3 linked regions of the Drosophila melanogaster genome follow. The protein of the gene in region 2 interacts with the protein of the main gene of each other region in a pairwise test. Each region holds a gene or a part of one and is shown on either strand. Other genes may lie near its edges. The genes, in order: Dip-B, Nulp1 and CG8840.

Region 1 (6,769 bases), on a different chromosome or scaffold from region 2:
CTTCTTGGTTCGTGCCGCCTTGGCAATAAATTCACACTAACGGATTGTAAATGGGAGACAAGTCAACGAAAAAGACTTTTGCGTTCATCAATAATAAGTACCGTTAGCCCGGTCAGAGTCCAAGTGTTCCGACTTGGCCAGATGACCAAAAGTGGCCAGTGTGACTGTCAATAAATTACCCAGAAGCGCACCCATCGCAGATGGAGAAAGAGGTTGGAACCAAGTTGGTATTGGTACGGGAGAACGGCCAAGAACGGGAAGAGGCCGCAGTCAGAAGCCAGAAGAAGGCCAACGGGAGCCAACGGTATATTATGCAATCACAGCATGAATGAGACACTCTTGACCGAGTTTCCAAAGCCAGGCAATAACGGTACCAAGACACATGCGACAGCTGACAAGCGGGCCCCATCCACATCCCCATCCCCCAACCAAGCCAATCCACGCCAAGTTGCTGGGCCAAGCTCCCGGGAACGGGGCCCAAAGCGAAGAGCATGGCCAAGAAGCGACTAACGGGTTCTAGGCTGTGGGCCAAGCTACAAAAAAAGAAGGCGCTGCAAAGCTGAAGAGAAAAGGCTGCGAAAGGGGAAGAGCAGGAGTACGAGCCATACCGTAGATGGCCAACAAGAGCTCGAAATGCAGGGCACCCGCCAATTATGCAAACAATGCAGCTGGGAAATGCAGTAATAATAAAAAAGAAATAAAAAAGACCGAATACCCACGCGGCTTTCTTGTATACTTAACAAATATATGTAGGGTGGTTATTCTCTATAATGGGATGATATAATGTTTATATTTCCATGTTGATGAATATAATGAGATATTTGCTTTGTAAGCTTAAGGAAAAAAACAAATCATTTTCACATTTATTTGTAAACGATTACCAAATTAGTGACATACATTTATGAATACAATCTGAACTCGGTTTTGCCTTTATTAAAAAACAGTGATGCAGTTAGTAGGATAATATTGTTGGTTAGCTAAGCACGTGGGTGTATAAGTACTGTTTGTGGTGATCGTGTACACATCCTCCTGAATATTAGGTGGACATGATTTACTTCTGCAGATGGGTCTTCACCAGGGAAACAAGAGGGGCAGCTGTGGGCATCGCTGGGTGCTCACCGGCACTGCCGGCGATATCAATATGGGTGTACTTAATGGGCAGCATTGAATCCAACCCGTGTTTGTCCAGTCCAGAAGCCTTAATCATAAAGGCGGCGGGCACCTGGTGACCGCGAGGAGTCCTCACCGACGGGGCATTATTGGCCTGCACCAAATCCTCGCCAATCACCTTTCCAGCGTTAAAAGAGAAGTCACTGGGACGGAGAATGGACACTTCGAAGGGCTCTCCGAAGGCCTGTCCAGCAGCCTGCAGTCTTCTGGCGTGATCCTCCCGATGGGCCACGCTGTTATCGATGGCAATCGACTGACCCTCACCTGCCGAGATGAAGGCGTGACCAGTCAAGGTGGCAATGGTGAAAAGATGCGGATCCGGGAGATTCTGCTCCACGACCAACTCCTTCATGCGGCACAGGGCATCGGTCATGCACATGCGACCCTCGGCATCAGTATTTCCAATCCTCACATGAAGACCAGCTCGCGAGGTGATAACCTCATCGGCCACGTAGCACTCCTCGCCCACGGAATTGCGCACCATGCACAGGGCAGCCACAACATGGATATCATCCGGTTGCAGTTGACTGACCACCTGCATGAATCCAGCGACAGCAGCCGCTCCACACTTGTCGCGCGACATACCGGCCATCACACCACCGGCCTTGATGTCAGCACCACCGGTGTCATAGGTAACACCCTTGCCGACCAGCATCAGAGTTTTTCTCGCCGGCTTTGGAGGCTTGTACTCCAGGAAAATGATGCGACCACGATGACGCTCCACTGCATCAGCAGCCCGGTTTACGGCGGCAAACAGGGGATACTCCTTCTGCAACACCTGGGTGTCACTGATCACATTCACGTTGAGCTTGTCGAACAACGGCTTGATGTACTTCTCCACCTGGATGGGCGTCATGCGCTCCGGGTCCCCAACTCCGATGTCGCGGGCCACAAAGCGACCGGCCTCCAGAATGAGAGCTTCCTGGAAAATAGCTTCGGCCCTTGGATCATCGATCTGGACACTGAGCGTGGTCACACGGGGGTCCTTCAAAGTTCCTGCCTCGCGCAATTGAATGGGCTAAAAAACGTGTTTTAGCACATTGATTGAAATAAAAGTAAACATAATCCATATTACCACATAAAGCTGCTCCAGAGCTCCCAGAACGGTGCAGAGTTCGACCTCGGGGAAGCGCTTAACCTTGGGCACAAACAGCAACGGCGTGTGGAATCCAGCCTGGCAAAGAATACATATACATTTTCTTTCATAATTCACACAATATGTATAGAAAAAAAAAACCCACCTTGAGAACCTTCTCCATGGACCGCTTGGCCGCCTCCTGGTAGCTCCTCACATCGTCGTAGTCGGTGAGCTCGGAGACGGGGGCATAGACCACAGGTTGATCCACGTTGGGCACCTTAAAGCAGGATATGCTGCTGTCGAAGGACTTGTCGAATTTGCGGTGCTCCTCGAAGGTGGCCTTCAGTTCATTGGGAACCGCATTGCGATCGATGATGCACAGGCAGTCGTTGCCGGCCAGACTCATCAGCTTGTTCAGCCGGAGGGTGCATGGTAGAATTCTGGAGGGGCACACGTAGAGTAGAGTTAAAGTGCGCAACGGAATCGTTATTGGTATTCATTAAGAAACATTTCTGGGTGTCAACTAAATGTGCAATAGCGTTTAATTGAATTGAATTTTATCACGTCACATTTGCTTTATTAACTGATGCAGTCGTTCATATTGCATAACAGCCTGTTGCCTTTGTATTTCAATTTATTATTTCAAAAGAAAATGTCCCCACTGTATTAGGAGCAACCATGGCCATGTTTCAGTGTGTTCCCCTTTCGTTTACCCTCATTCCTGGCGCTGGGCTTATCTTAACTCGAAGTGCTATAAAGAATCGCGATAAGCTTTCGAAATGACCATAATCACAAACCGATTTCCAATTTAGAAACAAGTGTACCAAGTATTAGCACAAATGGTGTTAAAGTACTTATTTAGAATATTTGTAATCTTATTCAAGTGTTTCTACTAAATACCAATCCTTAGGTAACTGGGTCTATAATATTTTGGAGAATAATCCTATGTCGCTGACCATTTAATTGTGTTATCTTTTGAAGTGCCCCATATCAAACAATAAAAGTTGATCTATATATATCTGTTTCCAGAAGTAGCAAGAACTCGTTATCTAAGTAATAATGATAAAATTAAGTGACCTCCCCCCTTTAACTTTTATACAGTATTTCGCCAAACATTGTTTTTATTTTGGGAAAAGATAAAGTTTGGAATTTTCATGACATCTATTCCTTGCCGGCAACTAATTAAAACTGATAAACGCTGAGATATGCAGTACTAAAAACATTCTAATTTCGTTTTGGAATTATGGGAAAGGTAAATAAGATAGCAATTGATGGATGCTAAGCGACTAACCCTCACTGTAAAAGATGGCGAATCTTTGAGAGCTTTTCCAATCGGTCGCTAAGCGGTGGCTAGATAACTGATCCGCGCTAACTTAAAACACACCCTCTAATAACTGTTGGTAATAAATACTCACTTTTCGATACCCATGATGAGTACTTTTTCGCAGGCAGCTCACGCGACTTGGTTGATCGGCAAGTGGGGCGTCACTGAACCTCCCTGATGGGAACAAAGCGCTGCAGCTGGAAACTGGAAACTTGGGAGCGGGATCTGGAACGGAAAGCTGGCGATAAGGAGCGATTGTGATAGCTCTCCGCGACGATTTGCAATGTTCTGGCTGGGTGGCCAAGCTTTTTATACATTTTACTAGCGAGCCGGGCTTTAGGTTTTTTTTTTTTAATTGCTACTTGCGTTTTCGAATGAAAACAAATCGCACGAGCGATGAATAATCGCCAGTATGCTCGCTATGTACGTAATTCTAGAACTCGGATATAACTTGTAAACAATAAAGGCAAAGTCTACTCACGTCGCTCGGTCTTCGGAATTGTTATTGTGGGTTCCTCTTGCCAGTCACGTCCACGGTGGATGCAGTTTCTGGGCCAAAACTAACCAGTGGCAAAAAACAAAGGAATGGCAACCAGGTTTTTTTTTCACAGTAGACCAGCCGGCATGTGCGAAGCTTTCAAATGCCGGCCAAGTGACAGCTGTTTGTGGTTTGCCCGCGTTGCCAATTGTCATAAAGGATGTGGAAAGCTTTCGGTTCGAATTTTTGATACTCTTTGTATGGGACTACAAAGAAATAGAAGCTTATCGGTCGTTAGAGACCGGACATTATTACTTCTTAATTAGATATTTGTCGGGGTGTTATATTAAGGCCAAATAACACAGCAGTTTTAAATGTAAAAAATATTTATTCGCCATTAATAAAGCGTTGTATATCGTCAATAAGCTGCGGAAGTTTTTTGGCCTCCAGGACCAGGAGTTTCCTGTAGGGCGTCATCACGGCATCGCCTTCCAGCCAATCGCCAGACATGCCCGAATCGGTTTCAGAGGCCATGGAATACTCGAAGGAGAACTTAGCCCGATCCGAAAGCAACTCATCCTCAGCGTTGGTGTACACGTCCTCGCCCGGTTTGCCCTTCTTCGACTCTTTCCTGTAGAACTTAACCAGCAGCAGCAGAGTGCCAAAGTCGTATTTCATTTTCTTGGCCTTGGCGGCTTCGATTTCTTGCTGCAAACTCTGCAGCAGTGGCACGGAGATCTGGGCAGGGATATTGATAAAGCGCTCGTTGATCAAGAATCCCACATGGCGCTGCTCGCTGTCTAGAATCTCCTTCAACTGCTGCTGAACCTCCGGAGAAGCGTGCGTCTTGGCGCGATCCAGTATGTAGGTCCTTAACTGGGCGATGCTGGGCTGATCCTTTTTGGCGGTCAGGTTCAGCACAGAGGTGATTCCAAAGATGGTGCCATCCTCGACCATGTTGTCGTCCTCCGTTTCGCTTTCGGTGCCCTCGTCGTCGCACTGGCAGATCACACTGCCTATAAAATTTTGGGCTGGAAACAAAAAAAGTTGTGCTGATAGATAGATCAAGATAGTACCTTGGAGTGCTCACCTATGATCAAATCCGCCATTTGGTTGCAGTTGATGTGGGCACGAAGGAATAGTCGCTGCAGGAGTTGAGAGATTCCCTGGGCATCGGGATCTACTGGAGCTCGTCCCTCAAAGTCGATTTGCACCTCCTAGCCGGATATTAATTTTGAAACACATTTGCTTTTCATATTTTGGAGGCACTTAGATTACCTCGTTTCCCTTATAGGCATCTGGATGCGGTTCGTCGTCGTCATCATCCTCGCTGGAACTGGAGACATCCTCGTTGGGGTCCACCTCCATGGTACTCAATTTCTTTTGCTTATTAGCTGACATTTTTAAGATTTAGTTAACGAATTTGGTTTTGTTTCGCTTCCACTAAATTGCCGCCCGAACAGCTGTTTATCGTCCACACGTGTTGCATTGAGTTGCCAACTATTACGGAGCGTGCTGTTAAGTGGGCAGAGTTCTGTAAATGCACCGGAGTTAACAGGCTGTTAAGAAATAAAATTTACTGGAAATTAAATAGTAGACCCGACATTACATTTGACCATAAGTATTAACAAAATTCACAAGTTTCAGAAAATATTATTTGTGGTTTACTGTCAAAATTATTATTATTTAAGTCCTCATTGACTTTGAGCAATATAATATATGTATGAATCATTAATTTAAAATACAAAGGCCTTATAGAAGAAGCACAACAAAACAAGGGTCAAAATCACGCCTGAATCTCCTTATTTTTGTTTTGAGCGTGGTCCCCGGTGGACTCAATTTGAGGTAGACCTTCGTTTTTCGATTTTAGGCGCTCCTCATACTGCTCCTGGGTTAAAAGACTCGCCTTGATTGCATCGCAGTTTTCGATTTTGGGCAGAAGAATGGCGAAGTAGCCGGCTCCCTCGGGGAGTTGCTCCAGAAGCTTTGGCTCCTCCACAATGGCGGTGTTCACCTCTACCAGCTTGCCCCGAATGCAGCTGGGCACCTTGTAAGTCCCTCCATTTGCTGTGGTGAGCAGTGCCAAGGTGGACTCCGCCTGTAGGATCATTCCGCCCTTTTTACCCTTTCCCTTGACCACATTCTGGCTGCGATCTACGTTCCCTATATCAAAGTTGACCGATGAGATGCCTTGAGCTAGAGCAGGGTGCTCGGGAGCCAGGCAAATCAGACAAATGCGATTGGAGTGGTAGAGCACTTGGTAGGGAACATCTCCCTTGAAGTAGTAATATCTGGTGAAAAAACGATCTACAACACTGGGGTAATCCTCCTGGAAGCTATCTGTAATGGGAGCTACGAGCTTCCCGCAGATCTCCTGCTCCTCGTGCTCGAAGTAGAATGGCTCCAGTGGATCATCTGCTTGTACTGACATCCTGGTTGATTTCTTTCCTTTAGTTACTTTCCTGCTGGAGCAACTTTTCCTTGTACTTCGCCTGACGTTCACGGGCTTTGGCGCGATTAGCGGCGGATCGGGCGATTCTCTCGCCTTTTAGGCACTTGACCACCTTGTCGTCAATGGAGTTGCACACGCCCACAAATTTTGCGAAGGCGTTCTGCAAGCAGAATTCGCATAAATCCCGGTTATAAAATAAAATCCCGGTTACTTACATTTTCGTGGCAGGCCTGGAGTTCCTCGATCAACTTGTTGCAAGCGGGCGTG
Region 2 (6,194 bases):
GCATGTACCGATATTATACGTTTTGTTCAATGTTTGTATTGCGTTCTGCATTTGAATTTGTGTTTGTGCCTTTAATGGAATTCGAAATGTTTTATTTGTATATATCTTATCACTTTTATTTCTTCCCTCTTTCTTTCTCTATATCCGGACTTTTTTGTAGACCATAAAAGCGAAATTGGCTACCGCAATCCGTTGTAACTGTTGTTATCGTTGTGCCTGTTGTACTGCCCCCGCCCACAAAAGCACCCACCCACCAAATCGAATCGATTTCGATTTCGAAAAACCCATCATCGCACACCGTGAGATTAATACGATGCCTACACTCAGCATCCGCCGTCTCGACAACCAACATTCATTGTTATTTATTACCAAGCAAGCAACAAAAAAAAGAAAGAAAGCAATCAAAGCAAATAGCGATACCAATAAACGTGTATATAATTGCATAAATCGAAAGAGTCCTGTCAAACATTTTTTAATTTGTATCTTACCCATACCTCCTCCCACTCGAAACAGCAACGAAATGGAGGACGAGGAACTTTCGGGCATCATTCTGTCCAAGGCCACCTCCCCCAATGCCGGGCGCATGATATTTTGGTAAATGATGGACCATCCCCCACCTGACACACATTCAGTCACACAAACGTATCGAATTTTTGTAAATATTTAATAAAACAAAAAACAAATAAAACGAACGATCTGAAACTCGAAATCATGTTGTTATCTAAACATCTTGAACTTACAAATACAAAAAACTACAATTTGCAAAAGTTCTAAAAAGTTTTTGAACATTATTTAAAGACAGGTTTGTATATAATTTATGAAATTAGCCTAAAATATAGCTTTTAAGACATTCCTTTAAGCAACATAAGCTAATAGCTGCAATCTATAATAGTGATGCTGCGCATATGACTTTCAAAACCGACCAGTGTGTCCACACCAGAAAAGTTGAATTCATACGAAATCAAGCAATATGTGAACTCAATTCAGCCCTGAAATGGAAAGTTTCACATTCCTTTTTCTGTCATTTGCACTACGGCATTGTCAGGGAACGTGTTCATTTGGTACCACATTTTTTCATATATTGGTCATAATCGGTTCCAGTTCATATCGCTTCCGATTTTTTGAAAAATAAAAAGGTACAAATATTCCAATATGTCCGACAATACCGAGAGCAAACTTGCGCTAGACCCGTGCGATGTGATCGTCTTTGAGGGACCATTCAACCGCTCGGTGAGCAGGAAGCTAGTCATCAAGAACACCAGTAAGACCCAGCGAATGGCCTTCAAGATGAAGACCACCACTCCAAAACTTTTTTATGTACGCCCCAACATCGGTGTCTTGGGGCCCGAGCAGAAGGTCAGCGTTGACATATTCATGCAGCCAATTCTGCAGGAGCAGATAAAGAAGCGTCATAAGTTCCTTCTCCTGGCCGCCGAGGTGACTGGTGACATAAGCGATGTGCAGGAGTTTTGGAAGATGCAGAACCCGAATGAAACTCGGGAAACCAAGATCAAATGTGAGCTAGTCCCTTCGAAGGAGGACGATTTCCGTCAGGCGGGAGGTTCAGCTGTAATATCCACGGACAACAAGGACGGAGAGGTCCATTTTGATGCCCAGGAAGTCAGTGAGCCAATGGCCAAGTTGCTCAAGCAAGTCAGCATGCTGGAGGACGAGCATATGGCCCTCACAGACCAGATCGACGGCTTGCGTGACCAGGCGATTGGGCGCACTTTCTTCTACATGGCCGCCATAGTAATCATTATACTGTCCGCTGTCGCAGGCGCCTATTATGGCAAGACTCGTTTGTAAATTCCTTATCATGGCAGTTTTTAGAACATAAGGCAGTAAATTGCACCGAAATTGTACGAAAATTATTTGTCAATAAAGGACATTTTGGTTGCATATTCTATTTTGAGATAGATAATTAGTTTATGCTTGTATACCAATAAATGCGTAAGATGTTATATTCTCACTTTACTAGAAGTAAATAAGTTTAAAATAGGAAATGTCGAATAAAAATAAATTTTTTCAAAACAATTTAAAATGCTTTTTCCTATTTCACTTTATGAAGAGACAAAAAGTAAACTTATTAAAATTTCTGTGAATAACACGTCAAGTTTGATCCAACTTCTACAGGCAAGGCGTATAGGTGTATAGCACTTGCTAAAATTTAGAACTTCTTTTTCAATTCCCGCCAAGACGGGACCACCTGTCTAGGCCAGTGCTGTGAAGCGCGCGTGGCCACAGAGCTCGGCAACCCTGCAGCCGTGCGAAAGCGAATGTGGTGAAGAAAAAAAAAACAGCGAAATACACACGTATTTTGCGACGAAATTAAATAGAATTCCTGCTAAGGGGTATAAGGACACTTGAAGGATGTCTGCGCGAATGCTGAAGAAGCTGCAGGGCGACGCTGACAAGCTGGCGCCACCGCCCGATGACGAGGACTGCGAGGAGCTGAGCGACAATGATGAACTGGAGGACAGCGATATGCAACGCTATCGAAAATCACACCTTAATCCATTCGATTTGGTAGGCCGCTATTAAAAAATAGCCAGCTCATCACCGAATGAACTGCATAATCCTCCGTTCCCACAAATTTTCTAGCTCAATCAAGCCGGTTTGAGTCTCTCGGAGAGTGAGTTCAAAGAAGATGACAATGAAACGGAGCATCCGTCTGCTGCCCTGCCCAATGCTACTGCCAGTGCGGCCAAAAAGAAGAAAAAGAAGCGCAAGAAGAAGGCCAAGTCCAGTGGGAATCACATCAGCAGCGAAGATAACGAGCGTCAGGATAAGTACTTTGAGAAGGTGGATCCGCTCCTTGGCAAGGTCTACGATGCGGTGCCCAGACAGTCGGCGAAACAGTTGGTATCGGCTGCCACCGGGACTACTGCCACCAAGAAACTGCTGGCCGTAGAGCTACGGCACCTGAATCCACAGAACGAGATGCGTCGCACTTTTGGCAAGCGGGTGGTAAAAGTGGAGTAAGTTTGGAGTGCCTGGGCTAAGAACTTCCATTCTGAAACTTAACTCTTGCAATCAAACTTTCTTTCAGAACCAAGCGTGGCAGGCAGAAGCCCACGCTGAAGTCCACCTATATGGTGACCGCCAAGGATTCGTGGCCGGCACTGACTAAAAACACCATCACGATGAAGCTGCTGCCCGCCCCAGACTCTCCATCGGTGTCCTCCAAGTCTATCACAGATAATGGAGCGGACGTTCAATGGTTTGCCTTTGAGCATAGCCAATACTACCAGGGAGTGCAGCAAATGTTCCTTTCTGCTCTCGAGCGCATTGACTCGGAATTTCTGATCACACTTATCAAACGCTGCCCCTATCATGTCGACTCCTTGGTTCAACTCAGCGAAGTATGCAAGATGACCGAAGACTTTTCCTTGGCCTCCGAACTGCTTGAGCGCGCCCTTCTCCTTCTGGAATCGTCGCTGCACATCAACTTCAGTTTGACGTCGGGCAACTGCCGACTGGACTACCGGAGACAGGAAAACCGATCCTTCTACATCGTGCTGTTCAAGCACGCGCAGTACCTGGAGGAACGAGCTTGCAGCCGCACCGCCTTCGAGATCTCCAAACTGCTCCTGAGTCTTCAGCCAGACACAGATCCTCTTGCCATGATTCTAGTGATTGACTACTATGCCTTGCGCAGCAAGCAGTTTGAATGGTTGGTAGAGTTCTATGAAAAGTATAACGCCGCGAGGAACCTCAATCAGCTGCCCAATATGGCCTACTCGTATGCTTTGGCTCTACACACGCTCTATGGCGCTTGTGAACGCTCTAACCAGGCACTGCAATACGCCCTACTAATGTTCCCGGGTGTTTTACGTCCTCTTTTGGACGAGATGTCGGTGCAAACGGACAAGAGGGTCCTGGCCTCATCGTACTTCTTTGCAGATGTGTCGGGCAAGTAAGTGGAGTCTTATCTCCGTGAATGATTAGTGGTATGGAATTTAATGTCTTATCTTGTTTACCAGTCAATCGCCCGCCCTGCACCAGCTGGTGTGCCTGTATGTGTGCCGTGCAAGAGTCGTTTGGCGTCAGAACGAGGTGCTACCCTGGTTGGAATCCAACGTGAACATAGTGTTAGATCGCATTGAGAGTAAGGATCCCCTGGTTAATGAGTACAAGGAGAAGCGATCACTGCGATATAGTGGAACACCACCAAGGCCCATTCTTCGACATGTCATACTCTCCGATTACAAGGAGAAAGTTCCACTGGCGGTCTTCGTGTCCAAGGAGAAGCAAGCCATTATGACCTATGATCCACTGCCGCCACCGAACAGCGTCAACTGCTATCATCGGTATGTCGTTCGAATCGGCTCAAAGTTAGTAAATTCTAAAAACCAGTACTTGCAGAAAATCTTCGTCAAGCAGCAGCCCCACAACGAACACGAACAATTCTGTGTCAATGTTCTTTCAATCGCTCTTGCCTTCGTTTAACATTAACAACCTAGCTGCAAATGCTCAGCTACAAGAAGGAGCAGCACCAGCAGCAGGTGCGGGAGCAGCTGCAGGCGATGCTAACATTGAAGTGGGCATTGAACAAGGAGCTGCCGGCGTAGCTGGCGAAGGAGAAGGTTCGTATGAGCATTATTAAAAATATCTTGAGATAAAACCGATTTTGTCGCCCCCGTTTCGTCACAGAGCATGAATCTTAGAATATGTTTCGCTGGTTGTATTATGGCTTTGCTTAATTTCGTTCATATCCCGAAATTGTATTAAAGCTTTGGCTTTTGTTTCAATAACTTGGCTAAAAGCGATATTTTGTTTCTCATTCTTAAAATCGTCAAAAATCTAACCTAAAATTATGCTGAAATTCCAAAAGAATCGCTAGCGGATATCGTAGTTACACTTCTCCTCCAACATTATTGCAGAAGCTGGTTTGCAGCAGTCATTAACGCTAATGATGGACGCGATGCGAGACTTCCTGCAAAACTTCCGGATTGCAGAGCACTTGCGTTCGCCGGAAACGGCGGCGGCACAATCCACGAGCAGCAACGACGAGGAGGAGGGCTCCAGTGACTACATTGACTAGTCAGTTTGTCAATTACGCGAGGCGTAACGAAGTTGTTTCGGATTTCTAGCTCGGGACATGTTTTTTGGAAACCACCTTTTGCTATTTTCTCAGCTTAGCGACACCGTCACAAAATTTATATATACAATACATAGAGCAATTTGAACACAAAAAAATATATATATGTAACTTATGCATTGAATAAAATTTTCCAGTAAAAGCTTTAGATCGAAAGCGACGAAAGTGTTTGAGCTTAAAGAATGTTTTATTGATTTATTTAATGCCTTTTTAATTACGCTTATCAATATAACAAACAGATTTCTCATCAATATTTCTTTTCGTTTTTCCTTTTTTGTTCATTCAGTGTTTGAATTGGTTGCAGTTATTGCAATTATAAATATTTCTATGACAAGTAGAGCGTTTTCGTATTTAATTGTGTATAGAGCCGGGATTTCTCCAAGAGCTTAGATCGGTGTGACTGTGTGTGATCGTGTTTGAGTATGGTATAAAAGTCGACTTCTAGAAATAATGCACCTTAGATAGGGGGTTGAACTGGCAGACATCGGAGTTGTTGCTTTATAGTTAGCCTAACAAAATCACACGAAATTAAACAGAACGAAACTGATTTACACAGAGTTAATAGCTAAACACATATAGAAAAGAATAATTACTAATACTTTAGCGTGGAATACCGAATCGCAATGTATATATATATATATATAGTTGGAGAATAAATCAATAAATCAATTTTAAATGGAAAAATAAATCAAAAATAACTGCTGCAAGCCGATTGGATCGGATCAATTATGTCATGGTGCCAAAGACGGGATTGTGACGGCAAATGCTGGGGCCATACTCCTCGTAGGCAGCCTTCGTGTGACACACCTGATAGAACTCGGGCTAGAAATGGGAAGAATATTGAGATAAAGGATTTTACGGATCTTAGGCCACTATAACTTACCGTTGAAGCCAACATGCTGCCTCCAAACCACACGGCGTACCTCTGCATGTGGTGCGTAATCACCTGAACATCAATGGGTTTTGGCTGTAACAAAAATAATCAAAGTAAGAAGTATGACTCATTAGCAGCTGTGATATCACCCACCTTAATGCGTCCCTCGGACAAATTCTCGCTGATCCGGAGACGTGTGTCCACCGATCGCTTGAT
Region 3 (3,996 bases), on a different chromosome or scaffold from region 2:
AATAGATATTACACCAGAAAATTGCAAAATAATGCAATGTTTTTTCGTTTATTCCAATGAAATTCGATACACTTTCTGGTAAATAAACTCTATGGCATTCCTCTTGAGAGTGGGCCAAATCGTCTGGCCGAGAACAGACGAAAAACAAGATTTCTGGGCCCATGATGGCATGTGGCATAAACAATATCTATTTTCTATCTGGGTTCGAGTTCAATGGTCACATTGTTGGCTTGTTTTTCAGCCAGCCGACGGAAGGGGCATATGTCAATATTTTTGGTTTCGAATGGCGTGCAGAGACTTTTAATTGAATTCTGTTGTTTTTTGGTGTTTTTTTGATTCTGGGAGTGGCGCCCAAAAAAAAAAAATAAACTCTGATTTGTAAGGCAGCAAAAGAAACGGAAAACACGAAACAGATTGCAATAAATGATAAAGTTTGGTCCAATCGCCTCTTCGCATTTTCTTGCATGCTCTATGGGAGAAAACTAAATTTGATACGTTCCAATTACTAAATTATGCAGTTAGGAGCTCTTTCGATGTGAAAATCATTCACCTGGAAGACTGCACACACCCAGACCATGGAGAAGTGGGAAAAACACGAAGACCCAACTGAAGATTAAAGAAATCGCCGCTCTACTATCGCCCAAAACAAACAGAAAACAGAATAAAACCAAATAATGGTTAGGCTTGAGTGATTATGGAGGAGATTATAAAAGCAAATTAAATTTGCAGAGAGACTGCAATAGAGGAAAGTAGGAAAATTGTCACTCAACTTAGTAACCCAAGTTGCTCAAATATTCTAGCAAAACTGCGCTTGATTTTCAATTTGTATATATTTAACTCACATACCAACTATTTAGTATAAACCATTGGTTTATGAAAGACGGAAAGTATTAAATTATGCTAAATCTAGTCGGCGTGCTCGCCATGGCCAAGTTCCTCGCAGGCCCGCTTCTCGGCCCCAATCTCGGCCAGCATTTTCTGGGTCTCGCGGGCCAAATTGACCAGGTTGTGGAGCCTGGTCTCCAGGGTATAGATTCGCCTTTGCTGGGCTTCGATAAACCTCCCATAGCGATTGTTGACCTCCAAACGGGACTCGGCCAGATTACGCCAGTAGTCTATGTCCTTCACCTCATGAAATGATGATGCCTTCTTGAGGTTTCCGATCAGAGTCATTATAACTTTGGCCAGGGATCGAAAGGAGACGCGAGTTGATCTCTTGTGTGTCCTTGGAACTGCCTGGGATGCCAGCGACTTGGATATAATGTCATCGATAACAGAATCGGCGGAATAGTCCGATTTCAGGGTCAGCTCCATGGAAGCCATCAAAGAATTCAGCTGCAAGTACGGAACTTGATCAGAGTTCAAATAGAAATCTTACTAATTTTGAAAGTATTTTGTATTGTCTTATGTAGTACAGTAAGGTATACTGTAGAAATCAGGCAGATATCCTATTCAAAGCCTGCTGTGCTATAAAAATAATCTGAAAAACAAAGTTCCTTTAAATCTACATAAATATATAAATGCATCATTGGTATCCTTTTAAGTATTTATAGCAATTTAATGGAGTTAGCCATTCGCAGATTATTATCTTTGCTCACAAATCATCGAAATGGCCAAATAAAGACAAGCTTCATCAGAACGCCATAAAATCGTATCACAATTTCCATATTTTCTCTGTGACCCCAAGCAAAAAAACAACAATCAATGCCATCCAATGGCTATGAACTCAATTCAAAACAATTCGTTTTTCTTTGCTCTTTCATCTGAATTTGGCTGGAAACATTGAACTCGAGCAGTAAACCCAGTGATGACCATTTATAGCAACTTGTTGCTCTGGTTTAGCATGACGCCAAAGTTGATGATAGTTTTTTATTTTTTTTTTTGCCAAATTGTAATAACAAGTCGCAGAAAACTAGAATTTGATGAGTGCCAAGTAGTTGATTTGGAGTCTTGACTTTGACCTTTTGAGTGGGCAAAAAGTTTCGTCTTTCCCTTTTGACGTCAGTGGCATAATTTTCCAGTCATTACTCTCCCGAGGATTTCCATAAATAGATACTATTTGCAGCGAGACTTGTTCTTCCCAAAGGACAAATAAATTTGCAAATGGAGAGGAAAGTTTGCATTTTTATCGTCCACCATTCTGTGATAAAAATAACTCAGCGAATTGAGTCGGATTTCTGATTAATTACAATAGCTCTGGCTCATTTGGCAATACGACTAACCAAAGGTTGCAGCTGCAATTTTCTGGATTACAAAGCGTTTCCGTTGGCTTAAAGCTTAGTGCTCACGCTGCGTATGCGTAATGCGTATGTGGTGGCCTATGCGAGAAATGAGGACACCACCCTCGAAGTGTTTGACATGTGAAGGCGAAACTGCTAAGGAGTTGCAGTAGGGGGTCATGATATTGAAACCATATTAATGTAAGGCGGAACGCTTTGAAAGCGAATTCTACGAACGATTATTTTCAAGGCCAAGACGAAGTTATTTTCGGGATATGTGGCCTTCTATATAAGTAAATATAATTACAGGGAACAAGCTCTATCCATTTATTTTCGTTTAAGTCTGAAAAGGTCTGCCAGTTAAATCCAAAGAATCCAACATCTGCTACGCAGCCAACCTTTTACAACTACTTGGCTGGCTAACTGACCCAGCTAAATTGACAAATGAATCATTTCACTCCGCTAAACAGTGACCGAATTTAGGAGGTCCTGGAAGAGGGTCCTTATATCACGGTCGGTTATTAATTGCCCTTTTGCGTTGAATCTATTTGTCAAGAGTTTTGTCAGAAGCTCCTTTATCGGCGGCCCTCTAACTCTGATTTATGTGTGGCAAACGTATTGAAAGCGATTTCCTTTCTTTTTTAGCTGACTTTGGCACTTTGCGTTGCACGTTGCGTATGCGTGATTTTAATTTTAAGTGGAGCCACTTTTTTTTCTGGCTCTTTGTTGCCTGCTTTTATGGGTCTTTCTTAGCCTGAAATATGTTGCCTTTTAGCTGAAAATTTGGAAGGCGTATTCAACACTAAGCTTACCCTTTATTATATTTGAATGTGCTTTTTATGCATAGCTTTCTTTGACACGCCAGATTTCGCTCGACAGCTCTTCCATTTAAAATGTTTCGTGCTTCATCGAGCTTGCCATTATAAATTATTTACTTTGAATGTCCTCAAGCTGAGACGACCCATCCATTTTATTCGGCTTTATAGGAGTGAGTATTATATATAAGACTTGGTCTCAAGGCTATTTCTGTGTCTGCTGTGTGGCATTCTTGTCCTTGTTTTGTCTGTATTTTAAAAGAACCAGACACATTCTTACGTTTTGTTTTGTTTGGTTATCGACAGTTGTCAGGTCTGGTTTTTTGTGACTTACTTAAGGGAGAACAGCACCAGCTAGCTATTCAACCAATAAATTTATAAGGAATTTAAAGAGGCCGCCCATTTCGTAATTACTAACCACACTGTTTTATTTTTAAAGGCTTTCAAAGTTTTGGGCAGGAAATATTACAGGCCGCTCTGTAAAAGGTTTTCCGTGTTATTTTAGAACGAGTGTCGCCGAGGAATCTTGGACATTGTTTAAACTGGGTCGTGGTCGTGGCCTGGGCTTTTGTTTCTCAGTTCCTGGCAACATTTGCAATTTATAGATTATTAATCTTGAAGCAAACACGAACAGTATTCGCAATGCTTTTCCATTCTGGTCTGTTGTGTTTCGGGCTGAAACTTTAGAGAAACTTTGCCGTAAGCCTGCACGAGAACCAAACCCTTTTCATTCCCTTCCTGCACTGCGGAAAATTTTTCGCACCTTGTACGTAGAACTTTAATGGCTTTCTATATTAATTTTTATGAGCATTTTTTTGAGTGTAAGAGTATTGCTCCCAGTTGAGTTGAGTTATTGCCCCGCACGGGCGTCAACGTCGCCAATGTGGCGCAGATTAAAGAAATAAATTAAAACACTTGTCTCCCCTCGTGGACTCCGTGTCCTTTTAGGTGGAAAATCGAGC

The links.
Region 1: the proteins of Nulp1 (region 2) and Dip-B interact in a two-hybrid assay, tested with the Drosophila melanogaster proteins (one large-scale study listed by BioGRID).
Region 3: the proteins of Nulp1 (region 2) and CG8840 interact in a two-hybrid assay, tested with the Drosophila melanogaster proteins (one large-scale study listed by BioGRID).

What each region holds. Positions count from the first base shown.
Region 1 is NT_033777.3:13,779,736-13,786,504, reverse strand, and holds Dip-B (dipeptidase B), read right to left. Parts: upstream 4,218-6,769; 5' UTR 4,054-4,217; intron 3,866-4,053; exon of another isoform or gene 3,811-3,865; 5' UTR 3,678-3,810; coding exon 3,664-3,677; intron 2,689-3,663; coding exon 2,412-2,688; intron 2,345-2,411; coding exon 2,246-2,344; intron 2,189-2,245; coding exon 1,052-2,188; 3' UTR 829-1,051; downstream 1-828. Other genes in the region: CG9286 (uncharacterized protein), read right to left, coding at 4,438-5,081, 5,141-5,267, 5,329-5,451; CG9288 (uncharacterized protein), read right to left, coding at 5,837-6,481; CG42375 (uncharacterized protein), read right to left, coding at 6,501-6,662, 6,718-6,769.
Region 2 is NT_037436.4:8,108,126-8,114,319, forward strand, and holds Nulp1 (nuclear localized protein 1), read left to right. Parts: upstream 1-2,242; 5' UTR 2,243-2,373; coding exon 2,374-2,529; intron 2,530-2,604; coding exon 2,605-2,981; exon of another isoform or gene 2,982-3,052; coding exon 3,053-3,919; intron 3,920-3,986; coding exon 3,987-4,313; intron 4,314-4,368; coding exon 4,369-4,589; intron 4,590-4,656; coding exon of another isoform or gene 4,657-4,670; exon of another isoform or gene 4,671-4,886; coding exon 4,887-5,047; 3' UTR 5,048-5,281; downstream 5,282-6,194. Other genes in the region: Sarm (sterile alpha and armadillo motif), read left to right, coding at 514-598; fan (farinelli), read left to right, coding at 1,153-1,809; Arp3 (Actin-related protein 3), read right to left, coding at 5,831-5,926, 5,988-6,071, 6,132-6,194.
Region 3 is NT_033779.5:3,408,017-3,412,012, reverse strand, and holds CG8840 (uncharacterized protein), read right to left. Parts: upstream 1,454-3,996; 5' UTR 1,324-1,453; coding exon 907-1,323; 3' UTR 814-906; downstream 1-813. Other genes in the region: Pgant2 (polypeptide N-Acetylgalactosaminyltransferase 2), read left to right, coding at 3,983-3,996.